2 linked regions of the Danio rerio genome follow. The protein of the gene in region 2 purifies or fractionates together with the protein of the main gene of each other region. This does not show direct contact. Links are inferred from orthologs where the notes say so. Each region holds a gene or a part of one and is shown on either strand. Other genes may lie near its edges. The genes, in order: sugt1 and cep97.

Region 1 (14,372 bases), about 29 Mb from region 2:
TATAAATATAGGCTATATGTCATATTCCTACACTTTCAGACAAATCTTGAAATATATGTTAAATGTACATATAACAGGGTTCATACAGGCACAGCCTAATGAAAATCAATTCCGGCACTTTTTTTTTTTTTCAAGACTGACATGCTATGTATTGAAGACCTGAAATGTATTCTTAGCAACCCATAAAACATTGCATAGGAATAGATACAAATAAAAATCATTAATAATAATATTTAATCAAATAATCTTTAAGGCCATAGAGACACTTTTTGCCCATTTTTTAAACAATATTTTAAAGCTTTGAAAGGTTAAATTAAAGTATATGGTAAAAAGATTTAAATTTAGCCTTTTATTTACATTTGTTACACTGTTTTTCTTTACAATATGGCAAATTTGTTTCTTAAATAGCTGTACATCACATGTAGATTTTATTTTACACTTGATCTTAATCTAAAATAGAAACGTAAAAAAATACAAGTACACTGTCAGTAAAAAATAAAATAAATTACTTTATTTTACTTGAGGTATTTGAAATATGACAACAATACATTTATCAAAGTAGTGCTTTAAGAGCCTTATTGTTAATTTGGATAAATAAACAATAAGTAACAACGGATTGCTTTGACCTGTAATGCTTTAAGACAGATCAGATCACACAAATACCTCATCCAGAAACATTTCCAGCATAATTCTTTTGTTGTAAAAGAATAAAAAAAATTCCACCTTAGCTAAAAGTAAGTTTCACTTCACAACACAGCCGAATAAGAAGACCATTAGCATTGTCATCGATCATGCATCAATCTATTTCTAAATACTTGATAACTTTGAATACTTTTGACTAAATTGAGTCAAGGAGCAAAGATAAATAATGTCTACTTTAATAGTGGAAAGATCGCGATTGTATTTAATCTGAGCACACAGGCGGTCATGAGAGCACTTGCAGTTCATTTGAAAAAAAGCCTATTTATTAAGAGCTCGCATATCTGTTTTAGCGATTTGCGTACATGAATGCGCTTTCGTGTTAAAATAAAGCACTCGCCACATTAGCAGAAATGAGTTATTGCGGAATACCTCCATTCCCGCGCTGCCATTCAGAATGTATTTAGAGGAGTGACAGGTCAGAGGCGAGTCGACTGGCTGTCGGAGACCGAAACGTGTATGTAGATCATCAAAATGGCAGAAAATATGTCCGCGGTTTAATTACTCTGCTAGACATCGCTATAGTGAAAACATCCGACAAGCATTATTCCAACAAAACATTTGTTTTAAAGTTGTTTTTCTGTCTCTGCAACACAGAAAACATTTGTCCCGCCCTTACTTTTTACGCAACTAGACAAGGTCGACTGTGATTGGCTACTTTTCATGTCAGTCAAATCAAGCTTCAGAGTCAATTCTTAAATTGATTTACAGCAGCTTTTGACACAATGCTCTAAAATAAACATTCTAAGCACAGCGTTGTGATCGTACGCTTCACAAAATAGCCAATGCTGATCACATCAATGTTATATTACGCATCAAAGGATTAAAAGTGTTAATTGTTTCTTTCATTATCCAGCTCCTCCACGTACCACTAGGAGGAAGCCCGCGTACCACTAGTGGTACGCGTACCACAGTTTGAGAACCACTGCCCTAACCAACATAGTTAACCTAATTAACTAATTAATCAATTTAAGCTGTATAGAAGTGTCTTTAAAAATATCTAGTAAAATATTATTTACTGACCTGATGGCAAAAATAAAATATATCAGTTATCAGAAATAAGTTTAAACTGTTACGTTTAGAAATGTGCTGAAACAATCTTCCCTCCGTTAAACAGAAATTGGGGGGAAAAAATAAACAGGGGCATTAATAATTCAGGGGGGCTAATAATTCTGACTTCAACTGTATGTTTGTTTGTGCACGTAGTAGTAGTTGTAATAGTAATAATAACAATAATATTAATAATAACAATAATAATAATAATAATAATAATTGTAAAAAAAAAATAATAATAAAGACAACAACATTAAAATGACAATATTAATAATAATTTTGAAAGAGAGGAACTTTTGCTTAGGACCATATGATGTTTCAGTTTTTCTTTTTTTTTTTTATCTGCAAAAACACTGTTTTTATGTCAATTTTATGTTGTGTGTACATTGAGGGGAAAAAAGAACTTAAAATGATTTTAGCAAATGGCTGCAATAGAACAGAGAGAAAAAATTAAGGGGGTCTGAATATTTTACGTACCCACTGTATGCTTTACATCAGAATTGCCAGAAAGTAGACCTCAATGTGTTTTTTTTTTTTATAACCTTTTAACTCTGGGATTTTGGGATTTGGGATTTTTACGGTTTTAAAAATTTAAACATGGTACGAGTGGGTTGTGCTGTAATCTTTGAAAATAAATAGTTTATTTTGAGGAACATACACATTTTAGTTACAGATATTCCGCCCATAATGGATTCATTCAATGTTGAAAATGATCTTTTTTAAGTATAGTTAAGTCAAAACAACTCTGACAGCCTGGGGGAAACATTGATGGATTAGTGATGTTTGGGATGTCACATCCACACTGGTGGAATTTAATGGAAGTATAGCAGATTTACTCCAGTTGATTGAGTATTCAGAAATATCTGAAAACGTATCATTAAGTTTATTTGTATTTTGTAAAGATGTTTGAGGATTTCGTAAATATAATAATACATCATCAGTGTAGAGACTAATTTTATGGTGTGCATTAATGTTTAAATGTTTACAGTGGTACAATAAAAATGATAAATAGAGATAGAGAGAGTGTATCTAGTTCTCCAGTGTAGTGTGAAGCTGCGTGATGTTAGTCTTTTAGTAATGATGATGGCTGAAGATGATGTGGAGAGAATTTTAGAATGATTGTACTGTGATGATTTAATTATGTTATGATCAGATGTTATGATCGTTTCGGCATGTCTGCTTGTAATTAATTGATTAAAGAGCCCATATTATGGGTTTTTGAAAATTCCCCTCCATGTAGTGTGTAACACAGCTCTAAGTGAAGTAAAGTATCCAGCTAAGGCTTAAATCTGTAAGAGTACAGTGTTTAAAACGGTTGATTCATCTATAAAAGAGTCGACTCATAGCGCTTCAAACGAGTCGCCTTGATACCGAGTCATTAGGCGTTTCGCCAAAGATGAAACCTCAGTATTATAACCAAGCAGTTGGAAACTACTGGAAACTTCTGCAAACTACATGCTACAAAGAATACTTTATCGGCGTTTGTTAAAGGAAGGATCAGTAAAGAGTAACTTACTGATGGACGTCAGGATGGGTTTCTTCCTCCATTTCTCAAGTGTAAGTACGTGCGATTAAAGTTGTTGCCTCGTTGACTCTAGCTTGCAAATGTATTTAGTTGTGATTTGTTACTTGTAACCGCGTGTACTGTATCAGGTTAACTGGCTATATTCTCTTATCGCGTGCAAAGTCACGTTAAAAACGCGACGCGTGCTGCTTTGTTTACGGAGCTCCGTGGACGAGGGTAGTGTGTATGTGCGCGTTCGCTGTCGTCCTGAGGTGTGTGTGTGTGTGTGTGTGTGTGTGTGTGTTTTTGTGTGTGCGTGCGCACGCAAGGACGAGGGCAATGTGTGTGTATGTGTGTGTGTCTGTAAAAAGGGCAGAGTGAGACAAGCTATGTGATCTCCTCGACAGTTTTTGGAGTTTTTGCTCAATAAAATAGTCGTTTGAATTTTCAAGTCCATCGACTGTATTTACATTGACCCACTGGCAGCTAAAATCCACGCCTACACTATCGAGCGTGTATGAACTGTGATTACTTTTATATTGCTGATTAGCTGTTTGGCTTTTCACTCTGACTGAAGGCAGTCAACCAATCGCAACAGGCTGTCATCGGTCCAATCAGCGCAGATTAGCTTCGCGCTAAGGAGGGGTTTGGGAACAAATGAATCACTGGACGATTCATACAGGAGTCGCTGGGACAATTAGGTAAAAATAAATACAGATTATAAGACCATGAAAGTGTTTTTTGACCTTGCATGCATATTAGACTGTTGTTGGAGACCCTTACAACCAAGATATGACTCTATTTCATGTATAATATGGGCTCTTTTAAAACTTTGATACTTTTTGTCTGGGAGGCAAGTCCACTAACGTTCCAGGAAAAAAAAAAGTGATTGGTGACATTTTTCAGAAAAATATAATAAGGAAATAGAGATGTATATTAAGAGGTTTTAAATAAACATTAGCATAGTGTATAATACTTTGTGGTTATGCTTGGTCTTTCTTTGGTGATGTTAAAACCACCACATCAAACCTGTAGCTCTTTTAAAGAAATTGTTGCAAATCATATTTTAAATCTCAATATTGATCAGATCAATCGCAATTCAAATTTATCTACAATTTGACTCTTCGCTAAGCCCAGACCTCCTTAGTTACTGTTGCTACGCCTGACAAGCTATCATGCCTGGCACGGCTGTTACAATGTGTATGCGCCGCTGTCAGACATTGCCAGGGATATAATGTAATTTTTGGCGAACAGGTGAGATGTCCGAGAAAGCCAGACAAAAAAGGACTGCAGTATGCATTTCAGGGGTATATTCACCACATAAAAGGCAACCGATTAGAGAATAATTTAATCAAAACTGAAGCTAGCTTAACCTAGCCGCCTCATACTCTAACCATTCAACAGCTTAGTTCATACTCGGCAGTAGAGGTGAAATTTAAAAATAATCCCATAATAACAAATTAAACCGTGATTTCTCTATTTTTAGCCAAAAAGCCTGATAGATTAATTTTTGTGCAATGAAATATACCATTACTAACCAACGAGGAAACACGCATGATAGTGCTTTTACATAGTATATACATAGAAAGAACAGCCAGAAAGGGGAAACTCAAGGATTTGTGCTAAATATTAGCATCATTGACCCATAACAATGTACAGTGAGTTATCTATAGCTGTCAGTATGTTTGTGTACTTATTATAAAATATTGAAAAACAGCTGCTGGTAAAGTATATTGATCGCAAGTGCTCAGTTTGTGATTATATCTCGGTTTTGTTCTGTTGATTTGTAATTTCAAATATTCGTAGCTTGAAATAGATGGAAATATGAAGTTAAGTAAAGTTAGCAACAGATTTGCATTTTCCGGATCAATAACTCATGACCTAATCGCTATTAGTATGACTAAGTTACTATGGCGAAGCCTTAAACGGAGCAGTGCTCATAATATAGAGCGAAAAAAAAAAAGAAAAAGACAGCTGGGAAACATAACCTGCTTTGTATTTTTGTAGGAAACACAGTTTAGGTCTGTTTAGGGTAAGAGGTGTGTGAGTTATTGCCGTGGTTCTATCACTTATTGTGTCAGAAATATCAAAACAAAACCAACTTAACTCCGCTTAGTGCCCCTCACAGAGCTTGATCCACGCTGGCATTTCTCCTCTTGGGTTTTTGGTTTTGAAAAGGGAAAAAATTCCACCATCCTGACCAAACTTTAGGGATACCAGGTATCAGATTTGCACAATCCATATGCACTCACTCGAAAGCTTGACAGAGCCCCTGCGTGTAGCTACAGTTGCTAAGCCACGATTGGTGGGTGGCGGTTTTTGGGTGTAGATTAGCAAAGGGTCAATGGTGCAGCCCTACTGTTTTACTAAACTCTTATCAAAATGTGACCCCAAAAGCAGGGAACATACCAAACTGTGACTTTGGTGTAGCGTTCCAGCCCTACTGATTAGACTTGTAATCACCCCATTTTATATAAACTCATATTTTTGCTTTATATTAAATTTTTCGAAGCTACCAAACCAAGAAGAGACAGGTTAGTTTTCTTATACACTTGCCTTTTACAGACATTTCATTTACCTGGAATGTGCACTTGTATGTTTATGTCAATTTATGCATATGTCACCGTATATGTATACCCTACCAGCCACATGGCTGCTTATTATATTAGTTAAAAAGCTTTATTTATATACCATGATGTCCACCTCTCAACCTTAACTATGTACAGCGCATAATCATTGATGACATGAAAAAGGAGAGAAACATTACCTCCCTTTCGCCAAAGCTGACAATCACACCCTCCTTCTTGGCATTTTTTACCATGATGGTAACTGCAACTTGAGACTCTGTCTGGTACCAATCATGTCTGAATGAAGCAGAAATTCATTAAATGTGATGCAATTTTATTCTATATTTGTACTACTAAACACAAAGAATTTAAAATAAAATTATTACACCACCATACTTACTTGACATGGGTTGTAGTTTGCTGTTGTTTAAACAGTCAGTTGTAAGTGCATTTCAGCAGAAACAGAGGGAAAATAATAAAAAAAAAGCACAAATCATTGTTTGAGAGAGAGAGAGAGACAGAGAGAGAGAGAGAGAGAGAGAGAGAGAGAGTTTATTGCCATTTCAGCTTCTTTGGCTAGGTCATGGCAAAAAAAAAACTGATCAAGTTTACAACATTTTATAAATACCACTTTTCTATATTTAAAAAAATATTCTAACAATTAAAATTCATCAACAGCACATCGTTTAACAAAAACAACTGATCTCATGTATCAAATTACTCAGTTTTCTCAATTAAGGGTTCGTTGTGTTTCTTTAAATTAAGATGATAAAAACCAGGCAATAAAATTAAAGCACTAGCATAATACTGTATATTTCTTTTCCAGTTACATATAGATAAAGACAGTAAACAGACACTTACCAAATCTGAAGTTTTGTTTGGAATGTGTGCTAAAAAATCAGAAAACTATTGTATTAGACATACACATACACACAATCCCCGAACTAATATTGAATTAAAAAAAAAAATTTACGTTATACATACTCGCCATTTCAGTTTCACAGTGCTGCATCCATGTTTGAAATTCTTCAACAGAACCTTTGTATGACAAATACATATCAAAATGTAATTAATATATAATTAATATAAACTAATTTTGCAATGACATCTTTTAAATTCAACAGCATCAATTAAAGGCACCAATGAATGAATGTTATACATTTAAGTGCCAATAATATTTGCTTCAGATACAGTTAAACTGCAGTATTCTCATGCATGGTATCTTTTTAGTATAAACAGAAACAAATGTTTATATGCGTTTATTAATTATAATATAACATAGTAAATAGTTTATTCAAAATAATAGAATTATAATAATTTTAAATAAATAATTAAAATATAATAACAGATCTAATAACTAATTGAATAGCTTAAAATGACCTGCATTATAGTTTCATTAATCTGATTACAATTTGAACAACTGGAATTATAATATATATAATTGATAAGAATCTAATTACTGGAAGTATAAAGTTGGCTTAAAGGGGCGGGGCTTAGACCAGAAGCAATCAATCAAATTTTGACAGCTGGTCTATACACCTAACTTAGCTGTAGATAAGATAGATTTTTTTTTCTGTATTACCAAATGTACATTTTATCTATTTAATTATTGGGAGTGTCTTTAATATCTGCCTAAACCCAAAAACTGGTAGACTTTCTAAGAAAGTAACTTTCTCACTGATGACTAGCATTTCTTCAATCCTTCTTTGCATGGTTATTCTTTTTTCCCATGCCCATCAATCTTTCTCCCAGATTATTATCATTTTTTTAATTGAAAATAAGCTTTCTCTAGTTAAGCATTGCATTTTAATGCAATTGTTCTTTCTGATCATTCTTCCCACACTTTAGGTTTAACATTTAACTGTGAATACACACATCGCCCACTTGGTGACTTACTGCATGCTTAAGTGAGGACTGTTCAGAATATCTCTTCCCAGATAGACTTCTTGATTAGTGTGAATGCTAATGAAGCCTTGTTTTTTTACAGTAATCCACTGGCACCCTTTTGGTTGGCATGGTATATGACAGAAAGTGGCAGTCGAGGTCATTCTAGCTTGAAGTTCAAATATCATATGAGAAGCACTTCTTAAAATGCTTTATATACATAAATACTTATGTATGAATGTTAATTTCAGACCATTTTGTAACCATGATTTGAATATAGCTGCAGATGATAATGTGAAATAGCTTACTGTAACATCTGAGATTATACAAAATAAAAAAAATAAAAAAACATATACTGAGCCTTATGGTCTCTGAAATGTTAAAACTTACAAAAAGTTGTTTAAAATATAAACAATAGAGCTCTCTAGAGAAAGTGAAACCACTTGTGCTTTTAGTTGACCTCCTAATTAACAACATGGACCAGATTATGTGAAAATATATAGTTTTTATCTGTCTCATTGTGACTTCTGTCATTGTGGCTCACACAAATATACAATTATATACACACAAATTGACACTTTATCATAGCTACAATATAATAAGCCAGTATATCACATTTCCATCAAATTAATGTGGTGTCGCATTACCTTTACACTCCATACTTGAAAAAAAATTAACTCACTGTCAAGGTCTCTTCCTGCTGTGAGGGCCTGATGAGCAGCGACAAAGTTATGTAGGTGATACTCCGCAATTCTTCAAAAACAATGACAAAAAGAACATTAGGCCTGTCATTTAAAATATTTAACTTTTTTAAAGTATTGTGAATTGGCAAGCAGTAAATATTACTATACATGACAGATATCATTGTCCTAGAATGTTACACATGATCAGATTCTTTGCTTAGCCCATCAGAAGACTATGATGTAAAAACCCAAATCAGAAAAAGTTGGCACAGTATGGAAAACACAAATAAAAAAGAAAGAAGTGTAATTTCTAAATTTACTTTGACTTATATAGCATTGCAATACAACAAACATTACTTACTGTGTTTCTCATGATTAAAAAAATATATATTAACCACTTTGTTATGTGGCCATTCCTTATCTCAACACTTAAAATACCAGACCCAGCAGAAGCAGTCAATACTTTAAAAGTGCTCAATTATTAAGATTTGTTGAAACTATTATTATTATTATTATTATTATTATTATTATTATTATTATTATTATTTGCATAAGTGATTGAGACAGTTGAGTCAATGTGTAAAACAGAAAAAGGCTTTTTTCTATTTTTTAAAAAGATTTTATTTAAATATCCAATTTTCAAAATGTTCTACTTTTTTAATTATAGAGAGAACATGCAAATCTTAAGTCATGTGTGAAGCCTAACCATGATAGATACCGAACCATGAGCAGATTGAACCGTTGCACTCCTGATGTTAAATAGCCAAGTAATTACACTACACTTACCTACAGATTTTTGACAAATGCATATGGCAGCTAAAGCATGATGGCTGAATGTAATTTAACGAAGCATATTACTTTATAAATGCATTGTGTCTAAACATATTTAATTTGGCTCTATAAATTCAATTAAAATAAAGTATAGAAGTATTAGAAAATATATTAGCAATATATGGACAAATGGAAAAAGAAGAGATGCTTTATCCAAGATTTTTTTAATTAAAATGAACAGGACATTCATTTGTAATCTGATTTGTAATCAGTTTATAATGCACAAAACTCCCGCACCCACATATATCTAAAGCATTTCCCAAATTAAAACTAGATTTGTAATTCTGTAATCTGTAATTTGTGCTACATCACTGATTTTGATCCCGCCCCAAAAATGATTTTAAACACGGAAGATGAAATTAGTTGACAAAAGCTCCAACTAATCCAGTTTTCTACAAAATTAAAGCTAACAGTTGCTAACGTTGTCTTAACTGATGCTCAACACACACAAATCTGTTAAAATCTTCAAAAATACTTGAATCTTTAACCTGTTCAAAATAAAATTGCTTCGGAGCCAAAGAAAATCTGTTGATTGTCAAAACGTGCTTCCACACAATTAAGTCAATTACCTTTATTTTTCAAAACCATGGACTGTAAAGTTCGTTTCGTGCTAATAAAGAGCTGACATGTAAATAATATTTGTATACAGTACACAAAATATCAATTACATGCATTGTCAAAGGAAAAAAAAAAAGTGTACAAAAAAGTGAGAAATAAAATAATATATGGCTACTATAAATCTGTCTCCACTAAATCAAATTCTTGTTTTGGTTTCCTTTCCTGTTTATTTTAGGATTAAAGACTTTAGTCATTATTTAAATACAATTTCATTATCTAAAAATAAGTAGAACTCTGTCATTTTGTAATGACTTAAATTTAAACAATATTTTCTCACCATTCAACAAGATTAAATCTTTTAAGTTAATTAACAAATATTAAACAAAAAAAAAAAAAACTAATTTTGATGTAAAATGATAATTAAAGTAATGACAAAGTTGTTGGCCTTAATTGTAGCTAAAAGATTAAAACTATTGTTAGATTTAGTAATTGATAAATCACAATCAGAATTTATGAATAATAACAAAGGTTTGATTATTTTGGAATATTCAAAGTTGATTAATGATTTTTACATGATTAATGAATTTTATATTATTTTTACACTTTTGTACATCATTTGATTCTGTAGAATATCAGTTTATCCTTGCTACGTTAAGGAAATTAGATTTGGGTCATTTTTTTTCTACATCACAGGTGTCAAACTCCGTTCCAAAAGGGCCGCAGCTCTGCACAGTTTAGTTTCAACCCTAATTAAACACTCCTGCTCAAACTAATAGAGTCCTTTAGGCTTGTTTGAAACCTACAGGTAAGTGTGTTGGAGCAGGGTTGGAACTATACTGTGCAGGGCTTCGGCCCTCCAGGAATTGAGTTTGACACCCCTGCTCTACAGTAAATAAACCCTTTCTAAAAATGGCAACTTTTCTATGAAGTTATCTAATGGTACCTCCCCAAAATATGATATTTCTAAAGTGATTAGACGGGTGCTTAGTATCTCCATACCTCTTACTGTAAGTCAGCTTCTTTTCTCTTATATTAACTCAAGCCCAATAAGAGGTATTACGATTGCTGACAGAGAGATAAAAATCCATGATTAACAGATGACACGATCACACTTTATTTTGATGGTCTATTTGTTGAATTTAAGTTACATTGCATCTACATGCTAACTAACTCTCATTATATTATAAGTAGACCGTCAGGTTGGGGTTAGTGTAAAATAAGTTGATATATACTTACAATGTTTCTTATAGTCAGTTAAATGTCTGTTGAATGTCTGTAACCAATTTACAAGAACATCTGGGGTATACCTAAATTTGGCTAATTATGAGCTTATGGCTATGATGTCTTGGAACCAATTTTTCCAGTATTCCTTCTATAATAATGATGACATCATAATAATGGGTCAGTTATTTAATTTAAATGATTTTCTGTTGACTTATAATGAATGTCTGGCACATTACAAGATTCCTGTAACATCAGGGAATTATGACAAAGTTTTTGAGGATATTTATCTTGAAGTCTGTGTTATTTAAGCATCAGACAAAAACAACCTTCAGTTGTTTCTGCTTAATATAAAAAGGTAGTATATGTTTTTTTTCTGTTAAATCACACATCAGTGCAGCAAGACTCATTCAGCCGCTAAAATGAAGTGTGTAATGATGGACACTTCACGCACTGAACGACCGCAGGTTTGCTTACGTAGCGGAAGGGGCGGAGCAATCGGACGCATATGTTGAATAACTATTTATTTTGGATGGTGAAAGCAAAATTCTCCTACGAGAGTGATTATAGCGCCTCCCGATGGTGAATGCAGCAATACTCACGGCAGGTATTACTTGATAATTCAGTTGTTTATTTCACTGATTTGGCAACAGTCAAACGTCATCAGGGAAACGGTTTGAATTTCCGCTTAGTAAAAATACATAAGTGTGCCATTTGGGACGACACTACATACATATACTATCCTGTTGAGTGTGTAAGTGCATAAGTACATAGTGCATGAGTGCATAGTGTATAGTGTGCCATTTGGGACGCAGCTAATATTGGTTGGAAAAAGGCATGGTCAACAGCTAATCAATATTTAATTACAATTGAGATAATGGAAGTATCATTCAAAACTATGCACAGGATATACCAAGCTAAAAATTAGTTGATTAAATTTAAATCTGACCATTGACTTTAATTGCTCTTTTAGTGCCAGTTGCCCTGAACTGTGATACATTTGTTTTTACATTGTCCTGTTGTTAAGCAATTTTAGCAAGATGTCTGCGATTTTATTCTACAAAATATCGATTGTCACTTTATATATTTTTAGAAGTCTATATTGTTTGGTGTTTTGGAGAAAGGCAGTTTCATTTTGAAATGATTAATCTTATTTTTTCATATGCTAAATTTTATAGATCACAAGTGTAAGCTCTCTGGCATCTTTAAAGAAGGAAATGGAGTATTATGTACTATATGTACTAATGCTTCAAAACTCATTGGATGGCGCTTCACAGTGCATACTTTAAAAACAACCAAAGAATTTTTGAAGGGAAAAAAAGTGGAATTTTATGCAATGGCCAAGTCAATCATCTGACCTGAATCCAATTGAGCATGCAGCAACTCAAGACAGTTGCAGTAGTAGAGACTCGATAGAGCATCATCAGGGAAGAAACCTAGCATCTCATGATGTCTATGCGCTACAAACTTCAGGTTATTATTTACTGCAAAGGATCATCATTATTATTCTGTCCCATTACTTTTGGTCCCTTAACAAGTGGGAGGCACATCTGCAGTGTTGTAATTCCTACACCATTTAGCTGCTTTGGGTAAATTGATCACCAATTGAGGTAAATACCCTCAAATTAAAGCTGACAGTCTGCAGTTAGAGCACATCTTGTTTGTTTCATTTCAAATCCATTGTCTTGGCGTATAGAGCCAAAAATGTTAGAATTGTGATGATGTGCCAATATTTATGGACCTGACTGTACATTGCCAAATTGTTATATATAAAGTAAAATTTAAGAATATTTGAATTAATATTTTAACAGATTTTCTAAACCAGGGATGGGCAAACTTGATCTTCGAGGGCCGGTGTCCCTTCAGAGTTTTGTTCCAACACTAGTCAAACACACCTGAATAAACTAATCAGTGTCTTCAAGATCACTAGAAATCTATAAGCAGGTGTGTTTGATTAGAGTTGGAGCTAAACTGTGCAGGACACCGGCCCTCCAGGACCGAGTTTGCCCACCCCTGTTCTAAACCAAATTTTGAGTCCATATAGTGTAATACTCCTGATTTATACCCTGATATATTAATACATTACATTTATACGATGAACATATTCTTTGAGAAACAAACATTTAGACATTGATTCAGTCAATTTTCGGCTTAGTCTGTGACTTGGTCGCCACATCGGAATGAACTGCCAACTACTTTGGCATATGTTCTACACAGCGGATGCCCTTCCAGACACAACCCATTACTGGGAAACACCCACACCCCTGCACACGCGCACACACTTAGGTCAATATAGTTATTCTAATTCACCTATAGCACATCTCTTTGGACAGTGGGGAAAAAAAGGCAGTCATGCCATTTCTAAATGCAGAATGTATAAACAAAGTTCTCTGATCAAAGCATTCACAACAAAATAACTTTTCAAACTCATGCCAAGAAACGACTCACTTTTACAATCTTAGACTGCAGCTATTAAAAAATATTATTCACAATATTATTAGCTTAAATCCACCGCCTGGTCAAACAGATCTTGGCAGATACGTGGATGCAAGTGTGTCATCAGGAGCAATGGCTACTAATTGTAACTTGTTTGTATGCATTTAAAAAAAAAAAAAAAAAACTATCACCACTCACTGACCACAGATTGAGCTTAAAATCTTCTTTAAAGGGTCACCAAACACCAAAACACATGTTTTGAGATGTTGACAGTCATATATATATGTTCCATGTCGCTAAAAACACAATTAGGACACATATATATTTAGCTAACAAGTGAAAATTGGTTGTTTTTGCGTTGTTTAGAGCAATTTCATTCTACTACTTCACGGCAATGAGATCGTGTCAACTCCAGCGTGAAATTTGGCTGTCTGTATCGGGCGGTACAAAGTGACGTCATTAAATTTTCAGCATATCTGTTCACTAATTTATGAGAAAGACTCGCCAATCAGCGTACTCTATTGTAAACGAGATGCAACTTCATTGATATGCATGATATAGCTTCATAGACTCTTTTAACCTGTTACAGTGTTCAGAGAGACTTCAGGTTGTGTTGCCAACCATAATTTAAACAAGTAGTAAATACATTTTTCGGAGACATATGTCATCAGTGTAGCGTTTATAAATTTGCCACAATGAAGGTTTTGTGTCCATTACCCCACAATAAAAGCACAGCTTGCGTGTGGACCCAAGCAGTTGGATTACAGTGGTCTGCTAACATGTGACAAAAATGTTTGTAAGGAACATTTTTTTTTACCTGAGGGCTTTTCAAATCTGGAAATGGTGAAATCCAAATTTGTCACTCATCTTCTTTTACAAAAAAAGTATGTGATCATGTATATTATGTTTATGTTTATTCACATGGCAAAGATAGTA
Region 2 (16,758 bases):
TTTTACTACACACCTCACTTACGCAAACACACCTTAATCACACAACACACCTACGCAGCCCCCCCAGAGCAGCAGATGAGCAGGGTGTGTTCCAGCGTGTCTGGATCTGCTCATAAAGCAGCCTGTGTGTGTGTGTGTGTTACTGTGTGTTACTGTGTGTGTGTGTGTGTTTTCGGGGATTTTCTGAGTGCGTTGCGTGACTGTGTTTGAGGAAATTCAGATGAGCTATGAGGAAGTCAGCGTCGGACTGTTAAAAACACACACACACACACACACACACACACACACACACACACACACGAGTGAATGATTGACAGCTGATGAATGATAACTACAGAAGGAAAAGCAGAGAGCCAACCGGAATGCGGAGATCTGCATACTCTGAACACCAGAGACAGAGACAGACACACACACACACACACACACACACAAACTGCATTAGTCAAGGTTCCATTCACCAACGTCCGCATGTTTATGCAAATGAGCTGGGTTACTCGTTAGCGCACAATGATCTTATGTGAGTGTATGTGTGTGAGTGTGTGTGTGTGTGTGTGTGTGTGTGAGTGTGTGTGAGTGTGTGTGTATAAAGCAGAGTGTATTTCAGATGCCCATACAGGCCTTCAGCTTCTGGACTATTGGACACAGCTGAGCAAACACAGACCTGATGATGTCATGAACTAGCCTCTCTCTCTCTCACACACACACACACACACACACACACACACACAATATGTAAAACACACAGTAAATGAGCTAATATTGGTCTCTGAATGTGTCTTTATAGGGGCACGGTGGCTCAGTGGTGTCGCACTGTGGTCTCTGGTTTGAGTCTCGGCTGGGTCAGTTGGTGTTTCTGTGTGGAGTTTGCATGTTCTCCCCGTGTTGGTGTGGGTTTCCTCCGGGTGCTCCGGTTTCCCCCACAGTCCAAACACATGCGCTATACGGGAACTGATCAACTACACTGGCCGTAGTGTATGAGTGTGTGTGTGTGTATGGGTGTTTCCCAGTACTGGATTGAGGTTAGAAGGGCATCCGCTGTGTAAAACATATCCTGGAATAGTTGGCGGTTCATTCCGCTGTGGCGACCTCTGATGAATAAAGGGACTAAGGCAATGAATGTATCTTTGTGTGTGTGTGTGTGTATGTGTGTGTGAGTGTGTGTGTGAGTGTGTGTGTGTGGTACCTGCAGTGTGGCGCTGTGGCCCTTCTCAGCACACACGTGCAGCGGCGAGCGGCCCCAGCGGTCGAATGTGTTCGGGTCGGCTCCGAGACTCAGCAGATCCTGAGCGATGAGGTGCTGATCGGCGGCCACACACACCTGCAGCGCACTCTGAGGAGACACCAGTGTGTGTGTGAGAGAGTGTGTGAGGGAGAACATGTCTGTCTGTGTGTGTGAGAGACAGTGTGTATGTGTGTGTGTGTGTGTGTGTGTGCAGCTCGCAGCGCTGGTATTATGGGATGTACCTGCTGGTTGTGCTCCTTCAGGTCCAGGACCCCCAGCTCCGCCATTCTGCTGGCGAGGACGAAGGCGAGCGCTCTGCGGCCCTGCGCCACGGCGATGTGGAGGAACCTGACCATAACCAATCAATAATCAATATCTCAGATTACACCTGCTCGTCTGTGTGTGTGTGTGTGTGTGTGTGTGTGTGTGTGTACTGACGTGTCTCCGTCCTCATCTCGGCTCATCAGCTCCGCAGGGCTCAACGCAGACAGTTTCTCATCCTCCTGCTGGATCTGCCATTGGAAGAAGGAAACTGGCGGCGCGGCGGGGAGTGTGTTCTGCACAGCGGGGAGTGTGTTCTGCACAGCGGGGAGTGTGTTCTGCACAGCGGGGAGTGTGTTCTGCATGTAAAGCGGTGGCGCGTCTGCACACACACTCTCCATCACTGAGCCCACGGAGAGAGGCGGAGCCAGAAAAACCCCGAGATCCTCCAGCAGATCACAGTCACTGGACACACACTCCATCTGTCCACACACACACACACACACACACACACACACACACACACACACACACACACCGTGTTATTGTTATCTGAGCGGTTTAATCATTACTCAGTGTGTGCAGACTGAAGCAGACTCAGTAATTCAGTAACTGTACCGGTGTGTATCCGTCAGTGGCTCGCGCGCGCTTCACAGCAGAGAAACACACACTCTCTGCTGTCCTCTTCCTGCTCTGCAGCACTGCAAACACACACACAGACACACACAGACAACACCTCAGTCATTTAGGACAAACTACTTCCTGGACTGCTAACAGGCGGTCGGCTCTGTTACCTGCGCACTCGTCATCGACGGCGAACTGCTGCTGCTGCACCTGAGAGCAGTGATCAGTCAGTGTGTGTCATAAACATGTCATAAACACATCTGTGTGTGCAGGTGTGTATCTGTGTGTGCAGGTGTGTACCTGTGTGTGTAGGTGTTTTCTGCGCATGATCAGTTCCTTCACCGTGTTCTTGACGCGCACACCCTGATAGCGGCTCCTGCGTGTGCCCTCCGCCTCCACTGCGCACAAACACACACACACACACACCTGATACTGAGCAGCCAATAATACACCACCACACCTGCTGTACCTGGTCAAACTACACATCACACACACACTACAGGCAGTCTAACATGTTTGGCTCTCACTATCGACCATTTCAGCATGGTGACGTCATCAGCGCATGCGCGTTTCCTGCTTGTTTTCTGTACTTCAGTCAGCAATAAGAGGAAACTCAGTCATAACTTGATGTTAAAGCAGCTCTCGTCATAACATTATTGATCAACATGTGGCTCTTTTTAGATTCTCGGAAGCTCTAGAAATTACAGATGTCAAATCAGAGCTACACTGGGACTGTTGTTGTGTTTTACATTCCTCAAAATGGTAAATAAACAGTTTTATCTGACGGTTTCTGGCGGGTTTCGGGACATTCCCCGTCCGCCGGCCACAACACAACAGTTTTACTGGACCAACACAAAGCCCTGTAACCCTGCAGCTATTCTCGGGGTTTTCCCGTGTGTCTGCTGTGTTATTCAGGAGCAGCAGCTTCAGTAGACAGTAATGAACGCTAATAATGTCAATATTGCCTTACCGCTGGCGTCGCTCCAGCTGTGCTCGGAGTCGGAGCTGGGCTCTCCCGGGGACAGCAGCGGCTCTGTGGGGGAACTGCAGCCGGGGAAGCCCCACAGCTGCACCGGACTTATCAGATCCGCGTCCCGGTCCAGCAGACCCGAAAACCCGTCAGAAACTCGGTCGATGATCATCTTCTGCTGCTGCTGCTGCTGCTGCTCTGAATGACGAACTGGAGCTCCGCTGGGGGTTTTAAACGTACGTGACGTCATGAGCTAGAGAGACGCCCCAGACACACGTCATTACGTCCAGGTGTTTACACGATACAGAATAATTCACGAGGCGACTTCTGCTCTCAGACCAGGGGCCTGTTTCAGAAAGGAGGTTAAGTAAGAGAAACTCTGGGTTTTCCGTTTCAAAATGGCAGGTTTGTTAAACTGGAGACAGCAGGGTAAGTCAACCTGTTTCTGAAGGAGAGGTCACTTTAACTCAGAGTCAGTTACTGTGGAAACTTATTCTGTGAACCTAACCTGGCCAGGAGCAGGTTTTATTCTCTAAACTTAGAGTTTCTGTCGGTCTCTTCTCTTTTTTAAAGATAAAGCGGTATTTCTCGCCTTAGTCTTGCGTTTCCACACACCTATATTGATGCTCATTTTGTATATGCGCATAAAACGATTTATGGAAACGTTATGATGCACATAACTTTGAAAAATACACATAAAAACATACACATAAATGAGTAGGATAAACATTTATTCGCTAGAAAAGATGCGCATAAACTTCGATGGAAACACTTTTACTGAACAAATTACAGTATGTGCATTAAAAAGGTTTGTTATTTGATAATGAAAATGTGTGTGAATGGCTGAGCACACTGTAACACATCTGAAATGTTGTTTTGCTCATTCATTCTAAAAATCCTGAACTGTTTCAGTATTAATGGTATTATATTGTTAATGACCTCCAGAGCGTCTGGAGCGTGTCAGGAGCGTCTGTCCTCCGCGTCTCATGGCTTCAAGCGCCCCCTCGTGTTCATTGTGTTCTGAGGCGCAAGTGTGTTTATTAAAAGTAAGATTGAGGCTGCCGCAGCTTCTAGTAAATTCTGCTTTACTGTTGATATTTGGTGCTCGTTTAATCAGGAAGTGACGGTTTTGTTCTTTGACTCGTTGGATGGAAACTCTGCTTTATTCGCACAAATCTTTAAGCGATATTCCAGTTTTGCGCATAAATTGAATTAATATTATTGGACGGAAACACAGCTATTGCCATTACAGTCACACAAAGAACAAAGTCACGTACGAGAATGGCTTGTCATTTTTTAATGAATAAAGCTTAAATTGACTGACCTTCAGCAGGGACAAGTAGCTTAGATTAATTAGCATTAGTTCTGCACATTCTAAATGTCATATCAGCCTCTATCACTGCATCAATAAGAAGGCAGACACACAAGTGCACTGTTAAATCTATTAAACTGATCAACATGTATAAAAGTGGGAACGTGTGTGATGATTTTATAAACGTCACACATTACATTACTTATCTTATTCAACTTAAATATTTAAATACTTGAAATGTAAAAATGTGCATTAACTCAAGCTGCTGTTTCCCCATGCTGTCTCTGTTTGACTGATGCAGTGGTGTTGCTTTTCAAAATATTCGCTCATATTTGCTATAACTATGCATGAGCACATCAAGTTCAGCTGGAGAAAGAAATGCTGATCTCTTTTCTTAAGATCTTGCCATGGTCACTCGTAATATCTGCGCTCCATTGATAATGCCTGGTTATAGTCACGGTGCGCGCGCTCTACTCAAAGTTGATTGACCCAACTCAGATCCGCTATGAACCTCCTTACTGAAACAGGGCCCTGAGCAGAACCTGCTGAGGGTTTATTAAAGGTCCACAGAGGAGCCAGATAACCCACAGGGCAGGAGAAAACAATCAACATTATACACACAAACACACGAACACACACACACACACACACACACACACACGCACACACACACACACTGCAGGAACACGGAGAGCGCCATCTAGCGGCATTCGGAGTATCAACATCAGCTCAGTGTTTATAACATATACTGTGTATTTCTGCACACTGAATAATCCACATGAGGGAACAATAATGTGTTAGACCAGTGGTTCTCAAATTGTTTTCATTAAGTTCCACCTCAGAAAAAAATAGTCTCTCCAAGTACCACCAAAATGAGCAGTATTGAAATACAGTAGTGTAGTAGGCCCAGTAAAGCAGCTACAACTCTGCACAGTTAAAAAAATGTGGCAAAATACCTCAGAAATATAGGCTGTATGTCATGTATGGCATACTATATACATCATTTTTGATAAATTTGGAAATATATGTAGCATGTACATGCCATATTGCATCCCTCCACGTACCACTAGAAGGAAGCCCGCGTACCACTAGTGGTATACGTACCACAGTTTGAGAACCACTGTGTTAGACCAATCTTCCTGATGGAAATAAACACACACACACACACACACACACACACACACACACACACACACACACACACACACACACACACACACACAGCGGTGAAGGAAATTAAAACTTTATTTACAAAAATGATTTGTAAAACATCTGACATACAAAACACTCAACTGAAGACTGCTGCAGCACATGCCGAGCGCGCTCACACACACACACACACACACACACACACACACACACACTGAAGCCTGCTAAACTCTCTGCGGGGTTGAACTGCAGCAGATGACCAACACATTGACATTACTCCACGGCGGCGTCTTCATCTACAGCTGCAGGCTGTGAAGGAGAGATGTGCACCAGTAAGTGCACTCAGACAGCATCAGCACTTCTTAGGGAGCCTCCGTCAGCAGCACTGAAGAGAACTGGCAGAAAACTGATGTTTAATCATACACGACTGCTGACGAGGGCAGAGACCTTCAACATCCCATAATGCCTCGGTGCGGTCAGGTCAGAGGTCAGAGGTCGTGTGCGGCGCGCTCCTCCTCGTCCTGCTGCTGGACGGAGCTCAGGTACTGCTCCAGCAGACTGCAGTTCTGCGCGTCTCCAGAGGCGGCGCTGCTGTTCACACACGGAGAACCGCACTCCGGCACCGAGAGATCAGCGTGTGTGTGTGTGTCAGTGCTACTGTCTGCAGGAGTGTGTGCTGCGCTGTCGGCAGGAGTGTGTGTCTTGTTGAGCGCAGGAGTGTGTGTTGTGTTAAGCCGCTGGTCCACAGACGCCTGCCACTGCAACAACACCTGCAGCTGGAGAAGCAGATGTTCAGCGTGTGTGTGTGTTTATGTGAGTGTGTGTGTGTGTGTGTGTGTTTATGTGTGTGTGTGTGTGTGTGTGTGAGTGTGTGTGTGTGTGTGTGTGTGTCTGTGTGTGTTTATGTGTGTGTGTGTGTGTGTGTGAGTGTGTGTGTGTGTGTGTGTGTCTGTGTGTGTTTATGTGTGTGTGAGTGTGTGTGTGTGTGTGTCTGTGTGTGTTTATGTGTGTGTTTTTCACTGACCTGTTTCCACAGAACCTTCACTGCTTCTTCTTGAACACGTCTCTGCAGTCGCTCTTCTTCTTGCTGCCGGCGGACCCTGAAACAAAGCAGTCACACACACACACACTCTTCAGTTCACGCTGTGCTTGATCTCAACTAGAGTCATCTTCAATTCTCGGAGCAGAGATGAGCCGACCTCTGACCTCTAGCGCTCTTCATTCCACTTTACCTCACAAGTACACACACACACACACACACACACACACACACACACACACACACACACACACACACACACAAACAGTTCACCTGTCCAGCTGTGTGCTCAGGTGTATGATGTGGTCCTGCATCCTCCGCATGCGTATCTCTGCACGCACCGCTCTGGCCTGCGGGTGGCGCTGGCGAGTCCACTGGCCCCTCCACCAGCTCTGGATCCTCACGGCGGCGTCCTGCGGCTCACACTGCTGATGCTCTGAGGACACGCCCCCACACACTGGCTCCTCCCCTGGGGCACGGTGCTGAGTGGATGTGGGAGGAGCCAGAGAGTCCTCAAACTCCTCCTCTCCGCTGTCAGGAGCTGAAGCCGGAGGAGCGGCAGATTCAGACGCCAGCGGCCCCGGGGCCTCCAGATCCTGCAGGAGCAGCCCGTCTGCAGCCACAGCGGGGGGAGGAGCGGAGGGGGGAGGAGCGGCCAAGGGTGGAGACACAGAGTCCATCCACGCGTTCACCCGAACTGCAGGCTCCACATCTGCACCACACACACACACACACACACACACACACACACACACACACACACACACACACACACACACACACAAACATCAGCAGAACACACACACACACACACACACACACACAAACATCAGCAGAACACACACACACACACACACACACACACACACACACACAAACATCAGCAGAACACACACACACACACACACACGCACTCATCTGTACTGTGCTTTACCACTGGGAATAGGAAACACACCAGCACAGAAACCCGCATCTTACACACAGCAGCCTGAGCGATTACATCATCACCTTCATCCTCCTCATCTTCATCAGGTGTGCTCTGGTGGAGCTGCTGCACGTCCAGGTGTGTGGGGCGAGAGGGAGTCTGGTGATGTGTATGCTGCAGCTGATTCTGATGATGCCTGCACACACACACACACACACACACACACACACACACACACACACACAGTGAGCGGTGCTGCTATGAGCGGTGCCGGTGCTGCTGGTCTGGACTCTACCGTTGTTTGTTGAGGATCTTCTCCAGTTTGGCGTCCTCTGCTGGGGGCTGCCGGGCGGCGGCGGGACACGTGCGGGACAGATACTGCAGCAGCTGAGTGTGCTCGCCCGGACGAAACACTCGCCCTCTGCCCTGACTGTACAGCCACTCCGCCTTCAGCCTGCACACACACACACACACACACACACACACGCACACACACATGCGCGCACACACACGCACGCGCGCACACACACGCGCGCGCACACACACGCACGCACACACATACACACACGCAAGCACGCACACACGCGCGCACACACATGCACGCACACACACACACACACACAAACACACACACACACACGCGCACACGCACACACATGCACGCACACACACACACACACACGCGCACACGCACACACACACGCACACACATGCACACACATGCACGCACACGCACAGATCAGAAACTGCAGCACGTCATCACAGCATGAACACTGAATAATGAGCACTCTTCCTCCTCCTCCTCGAGCTCCACTCACCCTTCCTTCTGTGTGACGGCGACTCCATCTAGCAGCTCCAGGCCGAGGCACCAGCTGAGCACATATGGCCGATAATCACACACAGCGGAGGACACACACGACACACACGGGTTACTGAGGAGGGAGAGCTGCTGCAGACCCCGCACCGGAGCCAGATAGCAGACCTGCACACACACACACACACACACACACACACATCAGGACAGATCTGCATCCTCAGCTGTGCAGCGAGGTCAGGTCAGACATCTGCCTACACTCACATGCAGAACCGCACAGGAGGAGGCAGTGTGAGCCTGAATGTGTGTGTGTGTTTGTGTGTGTGTGTGTGTGTGTACCTCAGTCAGGTCCCGGATCTCGTTCTCCGCCAGCGACAGCACTCTCAGGTGTGCCGGCAGGTGAGCAGGAGCCGAGCGCAGTGTGGTGATGATGTTTCCGTGCAGGAGCAGCGTCTGCAGTGTGTGTGAGCAGGATATTACTGTACACTCATCATCATCCTCATCATCATCATCATTCAGAGCGGCGGCGGACTCACCTGCAGCGCCGAGAGCCTGGACACGTCTCCGATCTGCGAGATATTATTATCAGACAGGTCGAGGTGCTGCAGGGAGACGCAGTGGTGTAGCTGCTCCATCACCTGCACAAACAGCAGAGCAGGAGTGTGTGTGTGTGTGTGACCGTATGCTCAGGTGAACTCCGCTGCAGACACACACTCACCTTGATGTTGTTCCCGGCCAGGTTGAGGCGCTCCAGCTGCTGCAGCTCCTTCAGGCCCTCGATGCAGCCGATGCTGTTATTCTGCAGGTCCAGGACCCGCAGCTGCGTGAGTCTGCAGACGTTCATCATGCGCACCAGACGGTTACAGGCCACCGACAGCTGAACACACACACACACACGTACATCACTGCGAGCACAGCTGAACACACACACTGTTTTCAAAATCACATCACCCCCTGTACCCTTACTCACTACAGTAGTGCACTTAGAGGAGTGAGTGAAGTGAGTGTGTGGTGGAGCACTACTGAGTGCACTAAGAGTGTGTCGTGTTTGCTGAATCCTCACATTCTATCTTCATCTTCTCCATCAGACGCTGCTATAGTTCATCAAACACACACACACACACACACACACACACACACACACACACACCTGCTGCAGGTCGGGGTTGTGCTCCAGGTGCTCCAGCTTCATCAGCTGGTTCTGATCCAGGATCAGGGTGTGTGTGTGTGAATCCGGGCGGAACAGCTGAGGCTCCAGCCGCTGCAGACCCCGAGCCGACAGGTCTAAAACCCCCGGACCTGAAAGAGAACAGCGCAGAATAAACACGGCTGTGGAGTATTGATCACTACAGCGATCAGGAAGATCATCGATCACACATCAGTAACACACACACACACACACCAAGCCAATAAACGCTTTCCCGCAGGTGTGTGGAGAGCAGCGGATCAGTGATCAGTGAATGACGGAGTTTACACACACAAACACACAAACACACACACACGGCGGAACCCCACACGCCCCGTTAAACTCGGTAATCCGCACACATCGCCGGTCTGCAGAAAAACACTGCGGTTTAAAGTCTCCGCTTAGTCAAACTCGTGGATTATTGCAATATTATTGGCTGATATTGCCGTACCTCTGTGATTCGGCATCTGCAGCACCGGATCCGCCATCCCCGCTCCGGTCGCCGCCATACTTCCCGCTTGTGTCACCGCCAGGCAACCGAGCGCAGATTTCATTGGATGATTTAATCTGAAAATATTTATATTTTTGGATATTTTTACAGAATAGTAGGGTTCATTCCTATGTCAAATATATGTTTACTTCAAAAAAATATTTTACTTTAACGAAACGGGCTCCTTTATAAACCGCTTACCCACAATTCCTCTTCCTCTTCCCCGTCTGAACCGCCGCCATGAAGTGAGTGTATTCTGTGTTCATCCCCAAACATCTGCAATATAACCTCACAGATGCGCCGATTAAAGTGTTTATGAGTTATTAATGTTCGCGGCGTGTCTGTAATGACGCTCATTTGTGCTCTGCAGGGTCGAGCTGTGCAGTTTTAGCGGATACAAAATCTATCCCGGTCACGGCCGGCGATACGCCAGGATTGACGGAAAGGTAAAGCCGAGTTACTCCGACACCAGCAGCTCACTAATATCATCCTCATTATTATTATTAATATTGTCATTATTATTATGTGAATATTCGTATTCATCAGGGTAGTTCGATACTGTTGGCTAACTACAGTTAGCGATGGGTTAGTAATGGCGAGCCCCGCTGCTAATGCTAACACAGACACTGGGTTACTCTGGCTAATTTAGCGTCATTATGAGTTCAGCATGATGGGTTACTTTACTGTTCTAGAGTTATATTAGGGTTCGGGTTTGCTGAAGACTGTTGCCGATCAGCTGTGTGTGTACACACACACACACACACACACACACAAATGTATGTCTACATATCTGTGTGTGTGTAAGAGAATTAGTGGTACGCGTTGTTATTAATATAAGAGCATCTCCTCCTCTTCCTCCTCCTGCTGCTGATGGTGAAGTGCTGAATCCCGCATGCTCTGGCTGATGTGTTCAGGAACTCCTCCAGTGTTTTGGCTGAGCGCTGTAGATTGTGTGTTAGGGCTGATCGATTATGGGAAAAATCATAATCATGATTATTTTGGTCATAATTATAATCACGACTATTCAAAACGATTTTCAGTTCAAAATTATTCGCACTTCTGTTAATTTATTATATATAAATATTTACCAAATTATGTTTAACGGAGGAATTTTGACAGGATTTTCTATAATATTTCTCCTGGAAAGGCTTATTTGTTTTATTTTGGCTAGGATAAAATCAGGTTTGAATATTTTTAAACCTTTTTTAAAAGCTCAATATTATTATCCCCCTTAGGCAATATATATATATATATTTGATTGTCCTCCTGTTATACAATGAGTTGCCTGTTTACCCGAGTGAAGCCTTTGAATGTCACTTTAAGCTGAATACTAGTGTCCTGAAAAATGTCAAGTAAAATAATTATGTGTCTGTCAAAGAGAAAAGAAACGCTGTCACTTTAAGATCAGTGCGGCTCTGATATGGTTTCTCTCACATGTTTTGATTATTACACAAATGAGGGTTAATATGAATAATCACTAAACACTGCGCTCTGACACAAATGTGCATGTGTTTGACCATTAAAGCGCTCTCGTTAAGATGACGTTAGATGTGCGTGTGTGCTCTCCTGTCCGAGGCTACACAAACACACCCACACACACACACACACACTACCTGTCCGAGGCTAAGCGCTGTGCACACACACAACAGCACATGCTCTTTCGCGATTTTAATAGCTGAGCTGTACGTGTCTGCAGAGGGCCGTTTAGCATGGAGCGCTTCAGCACAGGTCACTGGGGTCCATGTGTGATTATTGATTATTGATTATGTTGCTGTGTTCTGATGGAGATGCTCTTCTACTGCAGGTTTTCCAGTTCCTCAATGCCAAATGTGAGTCTGCGTTTCTGTCCAAGAGGAACCCGAGGCAGATCAACTGGACCGTTCTGTACCGCCGCAAGCACAAGAAGGGCCAGTCTGTGAGTTCATTAACATTATTCACCGGGCACATGTGCACGGGGGGTGTATAGTCTCAGACAGAGTGCATTATGGGTAGTGTAGTCCAGGAGTGGAGAAGAGTGTGTTTCCTCCTGTGTACATTTACATTACATCATAGATTTATGGAGATATACTGCAGCTGAGGAGAACATGAAGCCAGCATAGCAGATATCAGCATGATCAACCGCTGCTGTTCTCGTCTCCACTGAATCATGCAGAGAGTGTTTTACTGCGAGTGAAGGGCGACGTGTACTCCTGTGAGGAGGCTGAGGGCTGCAGACGTCATGTGCTGGAGATATGGAGCAGACCCCACTGCTCTAATGAAGTACACTGACCTGTGTGTGTGTGTGTGTGTTGTGCTCTTCAGGAGGAGGTGTCGAAGAAGCGCACACGTCGTGCAGTAAAGTTCCAGCGGGCGATCACCGGCGCTTCTCTGGCCGAGATTCTGGCCAAGAGGAACCAGAAGCCTGAAGTGCGTAAAGCCCAGCGCGAGCAGGCCATCAGGTGAGACACACACACACACACACACACACACACACACTCTCTCTTCATTCAGTGGTCATGCTTGATGCTAGTTGTAGTGGTGCTCCTGTCACCATGGAAATCTCCAAACTAAGGCTGTGCAATTAATCGAAAATCTGATTTTGATTTTGGCTTGTAACGATTATGAAAAGCCGTGAATCGAGATAAACGATTATTCCATCACGTACCGCACCCTTTCCAGTTGTACAAGTGTGAAAACTCTTTGCCTCTGCAAAGCTCAGTTCCATGTGAAAATGACTGAAAGATGTGCTGTACTGTAACTTGTGCAGCACGGGATGCGCATCATTCACATTTTTAAAAGCGCAAAAGGGTACGTGCTATTGTGTGTGCGCTGTGCTTAACCTCAGATAGCTAGCGTGTGTGTGTTTGCGTACGTGCCGCGCTTAGCCTCGGACAGCAGAGCACACACATCTAATGCGATCTTAATGCGAGCGCTTTAATGGTGAAACACATGCACACTTGTGTCAGAGCGCGGTGTTTAGTGATTATTCATATTAACCCTCATCTGTGTAATAAACTAACAAGTTGAGAATCAAAAGACACGAGAAAGAGAAACCGTATCAGAGCCGCACTATTCTTAAAGTGACCGCGCAATATTCCTGCTGCTGCCGACTGTTTTTATTAATAATCAATAATAAAATAAAAAATACAGTGGAGATGCTTAAAGCGCGGTTTACACACAACAGATTTAAGAACTCATTTCTAATAACTGATTTGTTTTATCTTTGCTCTGATGACAGCACATTATAGGCTATTTTACTAGATGTTTTTTAAGATACTCGTATTCAGCTTAAAGTGACATTCAAAGGCTTAATTAGGGTAAATAGACCAGTCATTGTGTAACAGTATTTTCTTCTGCAGACCATTAAACAAATATATTGCTTAAAGGGGCTAATAATATCAAGCTATTAAAATAGGTTTCAAAATATTCAAACCTGCTTTTATTGTAGCTGAAACAAAACAAATAAGCCTTTCTCCAGAAGAAAAAATATTATAGAAAATACTGTTAAAAACCCCCTCTGTTAAACATAATTTGGTAAATATTTATATATAAAAATAAATTCACAGGAGGATGAATAATTTTGACTTCAACTGATAATCGTTTTGAATAGTCGTGATTATAATTATGACCAAAATAATCGGGATTATGATTTTTCCCATAAACGAGCAGCCCAACTCCAAACACGCGTTTACACGGGTTACTGATCTGCAGGACTGCAGAATCCTCAGTCATCATGTCCATTATCTGTGAAGAGCTGCGTGAGCTCGTTCTGCTTTTATGCCTCGTTTTACGGTACGGTTCGGGTTGGTACGGGTCACCTTTATCAGGCTTACATTTCCATTACCAAGGGTCTCCTTTTGGTGGGTGTGGTGAATGACAGGAAGTTTCAGTCGCATCATTCTCGCTCGAGGAAATGTCTGCAGTAAAGCTGTACGGGTCGCTCACATATCATATGAGCAGCATTTCTCACCACACAGACGCTTCACACACACACACACACACACACACACACACACACACACACACACACACACACACACACGTGTATAAATGTTCATTACAAACTTTTCTGTAGACAGGAGTTGGTTATATCTGCAGATCAATGACAGTGCAAAATAGCCTACTGTAACGTCTGTAATTATACAAAATAAATAAATTAATGAACATATGAACACATACAGACCCTTACAGTCTCCGATATGTTACCAACTACAGATAAACTACACACAGCAGACATTTCATCCTTATTTAGGTTCAAAACAACACAAAATACAGCCCACAGTCAGAGCAAACCTCTCGTGTGTGTACGTGTGTGTACGTGTGTGTGCGCGTGCGCGTGCGTGCGCGTGTGCGTGCGTGCGTGTGCGTGCGTGCGTGCGTGTGCGTGCGTGCGTGTGTGTGTGTGTGTGTGTGTGTGTGTGTGTGCAGCCTCTGTTAGAGTCACTCCATCATTGTGTTCATATTAGTCCAGAAGGTGAAGATGAAAAATAAAGCAAGGCAGTGTGTTCACGTTTGCTGGAGGAATAATGTGCTGCTTTTTCCCGTTTTCTTTGTTTTTTTGCGATTCGCTCTTGCGTTTGTCAGTGTCTGACAGGATCGGGTTTCAAAAGCACGTCAGTTATCAAGCGCACGTTATCCTCATCAGCTCAAGAAGTTCGTTATTTCAGATATAGACGCGCGGCGAGCACAAGCAAGAAAACGTGTGTATTTTAAACATGGCGGGCTTTTTGTTTTCATTCTGGCTTGTTGCGCAAGCGAATGAAGAGTCTCTGTAAACCAATAGCGTTCAGCTGCGTGTTTAGCGCCGCCTTTTGGTACCCTTTCTCGTGTTTAGTACTCTTTTGAAAGGGTGCAGAAGAAGTAGTACGGTACGGTAAGCCTTTTGACAGGAAAAAGTTTCTTTGAAACGGCCATAAACGCGTACCAAACCGAACCGTACCACTCAGTGAAAATGGGCCAATAGATAGATGTGTGTGTGTGTGTGTGTGTGTGTGTGTGTGTGTGTGTGTGCGCGCACTAATCACTTGCTACAGCTAACGCTGCTGTGCATCTGATCTTTAGGGCTGCAAAGGAGGCGAAGAAAGCCAAGCAGGCCACCAAGAAGCAGACGACCCAGAGCAGCAAGGTAAAGAGCTGCAGATTACTGTGTGTGTGTGTCTGTCTCTCTCTCTCTCTCTCTCTCTCTCTCTCTCTCTCTCTCTCTCTGTCTTCAGTGCAGGTGTTGTGTGTCTTCATTGGTTGTGTTTGTGTTTTCAGGCTCCTGCTAAATCAGCTCAGAAACAGAAGATTGCCAAGCCCATGAAGGTCAGCGCTCCTCGCGTCGGTGGCAAACGCTAAACTCTGATGTGCTAATAAAGATTCACTGCTAACCTTCAGTGTGTGCGTGTTTGTGTGTGTGTTTAGCCGGATCAGTAATGCTGTGTGTTTATCAGAACACTGTTCCCTGTCCGCTTCAGTGGTCAGGGCCTGTGTGCGGCTGCAGCTGTGGATGTGGCTTACTCCGCTGATTGTTGTTGTTGTTGTTGTTGTTGTTGTTTGGAAGTGTTCGACTCTAACTGTAAACAGAGCGGCTGTTCTGAACCTGCTGCTGAGTTGATCAGGGTTTGGGCTCGCAGACATCTTAAGTCTATTTGCAGTAAATGTTCTGATGTGTGTTCAATCCAGCGGCGTCTGCTCGTGTCAGGGTACAGTTGCTCTTTTACTGGAGTGCAGCTTTGTCTGTGTCTGCTGCAGGAGACTCTCTCTCTCTCTCTGTGTTTTTATCCCATAATTATGAAAATAATCAGTCATTTAATACGTTTAAAGTGTCCAGTACGCTCTATGTGCTTTACTCAATGCTGAATGCGGTGCTCAGAGCTGTACAGACACTAGAGATGGTCAAGAGGGAACTAACCTGCATTGTTCAGACGGCGCCTCAATAGATCTGGGGCCTGTTTCAGTAAGGAGGTTCAACAAACTCAGTTTAAACTTGAGCTCTGTGATGGGTCAATCAAGTCTGAGTAGACTGAATCAGAGTTAAGCGCGCACACCGCAGCTATCGAGAGGCATTACTGACGGAGCGCAGATATGAAGAGTCACCATGGCAACATCTGAATGAAGAGATCAGCATTTCTGTCTCCAGCTGAACGTGATGTGCTTATGCAGAGGTACAGCAGACATAAGCAGCAACACCACTGCATCAGGCAGACACACGGCATGGGGAAACAGCTGCTCAAGGTAATGCACAACATTACATTTCAAACATTTAAGTAGGATAAAATCAGTCATGTGTGACGTTTATTACCTTTTCACTTGATAAAATGGGGAACTGGCTGTAATCTTAGAGTTAATTCATTTTGTTTTCAGCGTAGTTCTTTTATTCATCAGGGGCCACCACAGCGGAATGAACTGCCAACTTATCCAGCATATGTTTGATAAAGTGGATGCCCTTCCAGCTGCAACCCAGTACTGGGAAACACCCATACACACTCATACACTACGGCCAGTTTAGTTGATCAGTTTCCCTATAGCGCATGTGTTTGGACTGTGGGGGAAACAGGAGGAAACCACACACCAACACGGGGAGAACATGCAAACTCCACACAGAAACACCAACTGACCCAACCGAGACTCAAGCCTGCGACCCTCTTGCTGTGAGGCGACAGAGTTACCCTCTGCTTCACCGCAATATAACTTTAATAATTATAAAATGTGTTTATCACAGCATATTTGAAACAGAAAACAGCATTCACACCTGAGCACAACTAAATGTTGAAGCTTCTCGCTGAGCAAGGCTGCATACATGAGA

The links.
Region 1: the proteins of cep97 (region 2) and sugt1 purify together in Homo sapiens (affinity purification with mass spectrometry; 3 studies listed by BioGRID and IntAct, with this or other methods). This does not show direct contact. The link is inferred for Danio rerio from reciprocal best matches to the Homo sapiens genes CEP97 and SUGT1.

What each region holds. Positions count from the first base shown.
Region 1 is NC_133176.1:29,648,184-29,662,555, reverse strand, and holds part of sugt1 (protein SGT1 homolog), read right to left. Parts: intron 8,461-14,372; coding exon 8,390-8,460; intron 6,862-8,389; coding exon 6,808-6,861; intron 6,714-6,807; coding exon 6,685-6,713; intron 6,244-6,684; coding exon 6,224-6,243; intron 6,121-6,223; coding exon 6,024-6,120; intron 1-6,023. UniProt on the Homo sapiens protein: May play a role in ubiquitination and subsequent proteasomal degradation of target proteins.
Region 2 is NC_133176.1:195,645-212,402, reverse strand, and holds cep97 (centrosomal protein of 97 kDa), read right to left. Parts: upstream 10,022-16,758; 5' UTR 10,012-10,021; coding exon 9,954-10,011; intron 9,616-9,953; coding exon 9,467-9,615; intron 9,194-9,466; coding exon 9,035-9,193; intron 8,955-9,034; coding exon 8,853-8,954; intron 8,770-8,852; coding exon 8,656-8,769; intron 8,485-8,655; coding exon 8,321-8,484; intron 7,957-8,320; coding exon 7,798-7,956; intron 7,699-7,797; coding exon 7,586-7,698; coding exon of another isoform or gene 7,556-7,585; exon of another isoform or gene 7,533-7,555; intron 7,290-7,532; coding exon 6,851-7,289; intron 6,639-6,850; coding exon 6,563-6,638; intron 6,315-6,562; coding exon 6,027-6,314; 3' UTR 5,617-6,026; downstream 1-5,616. Other genes in the region: nfkbiz (NF-kappa-B inhibitor zeta), read right to left, coding at 1,184-1,330, 1,465-1,570, 1,661-1,965, 2,102-2,184, 2,278-2,317, 2,408-2,505, 3,078-3,327; rpl24 (large ribosomal subunit protein eL24), read left to right, coding at 10,233-10,237, 10,363-10,438, 11,797-11,907, 12,294-12,430, 15,033-15,096, 15,228-15,308. UniProt on the Homo sapiens protein: Acts as a key negative regulator of ciliogenesis in collaboration with CCP110 by capping the mother centriole thereby preventing cilia formation. Required for recruitment of CCP110 to the centrosome.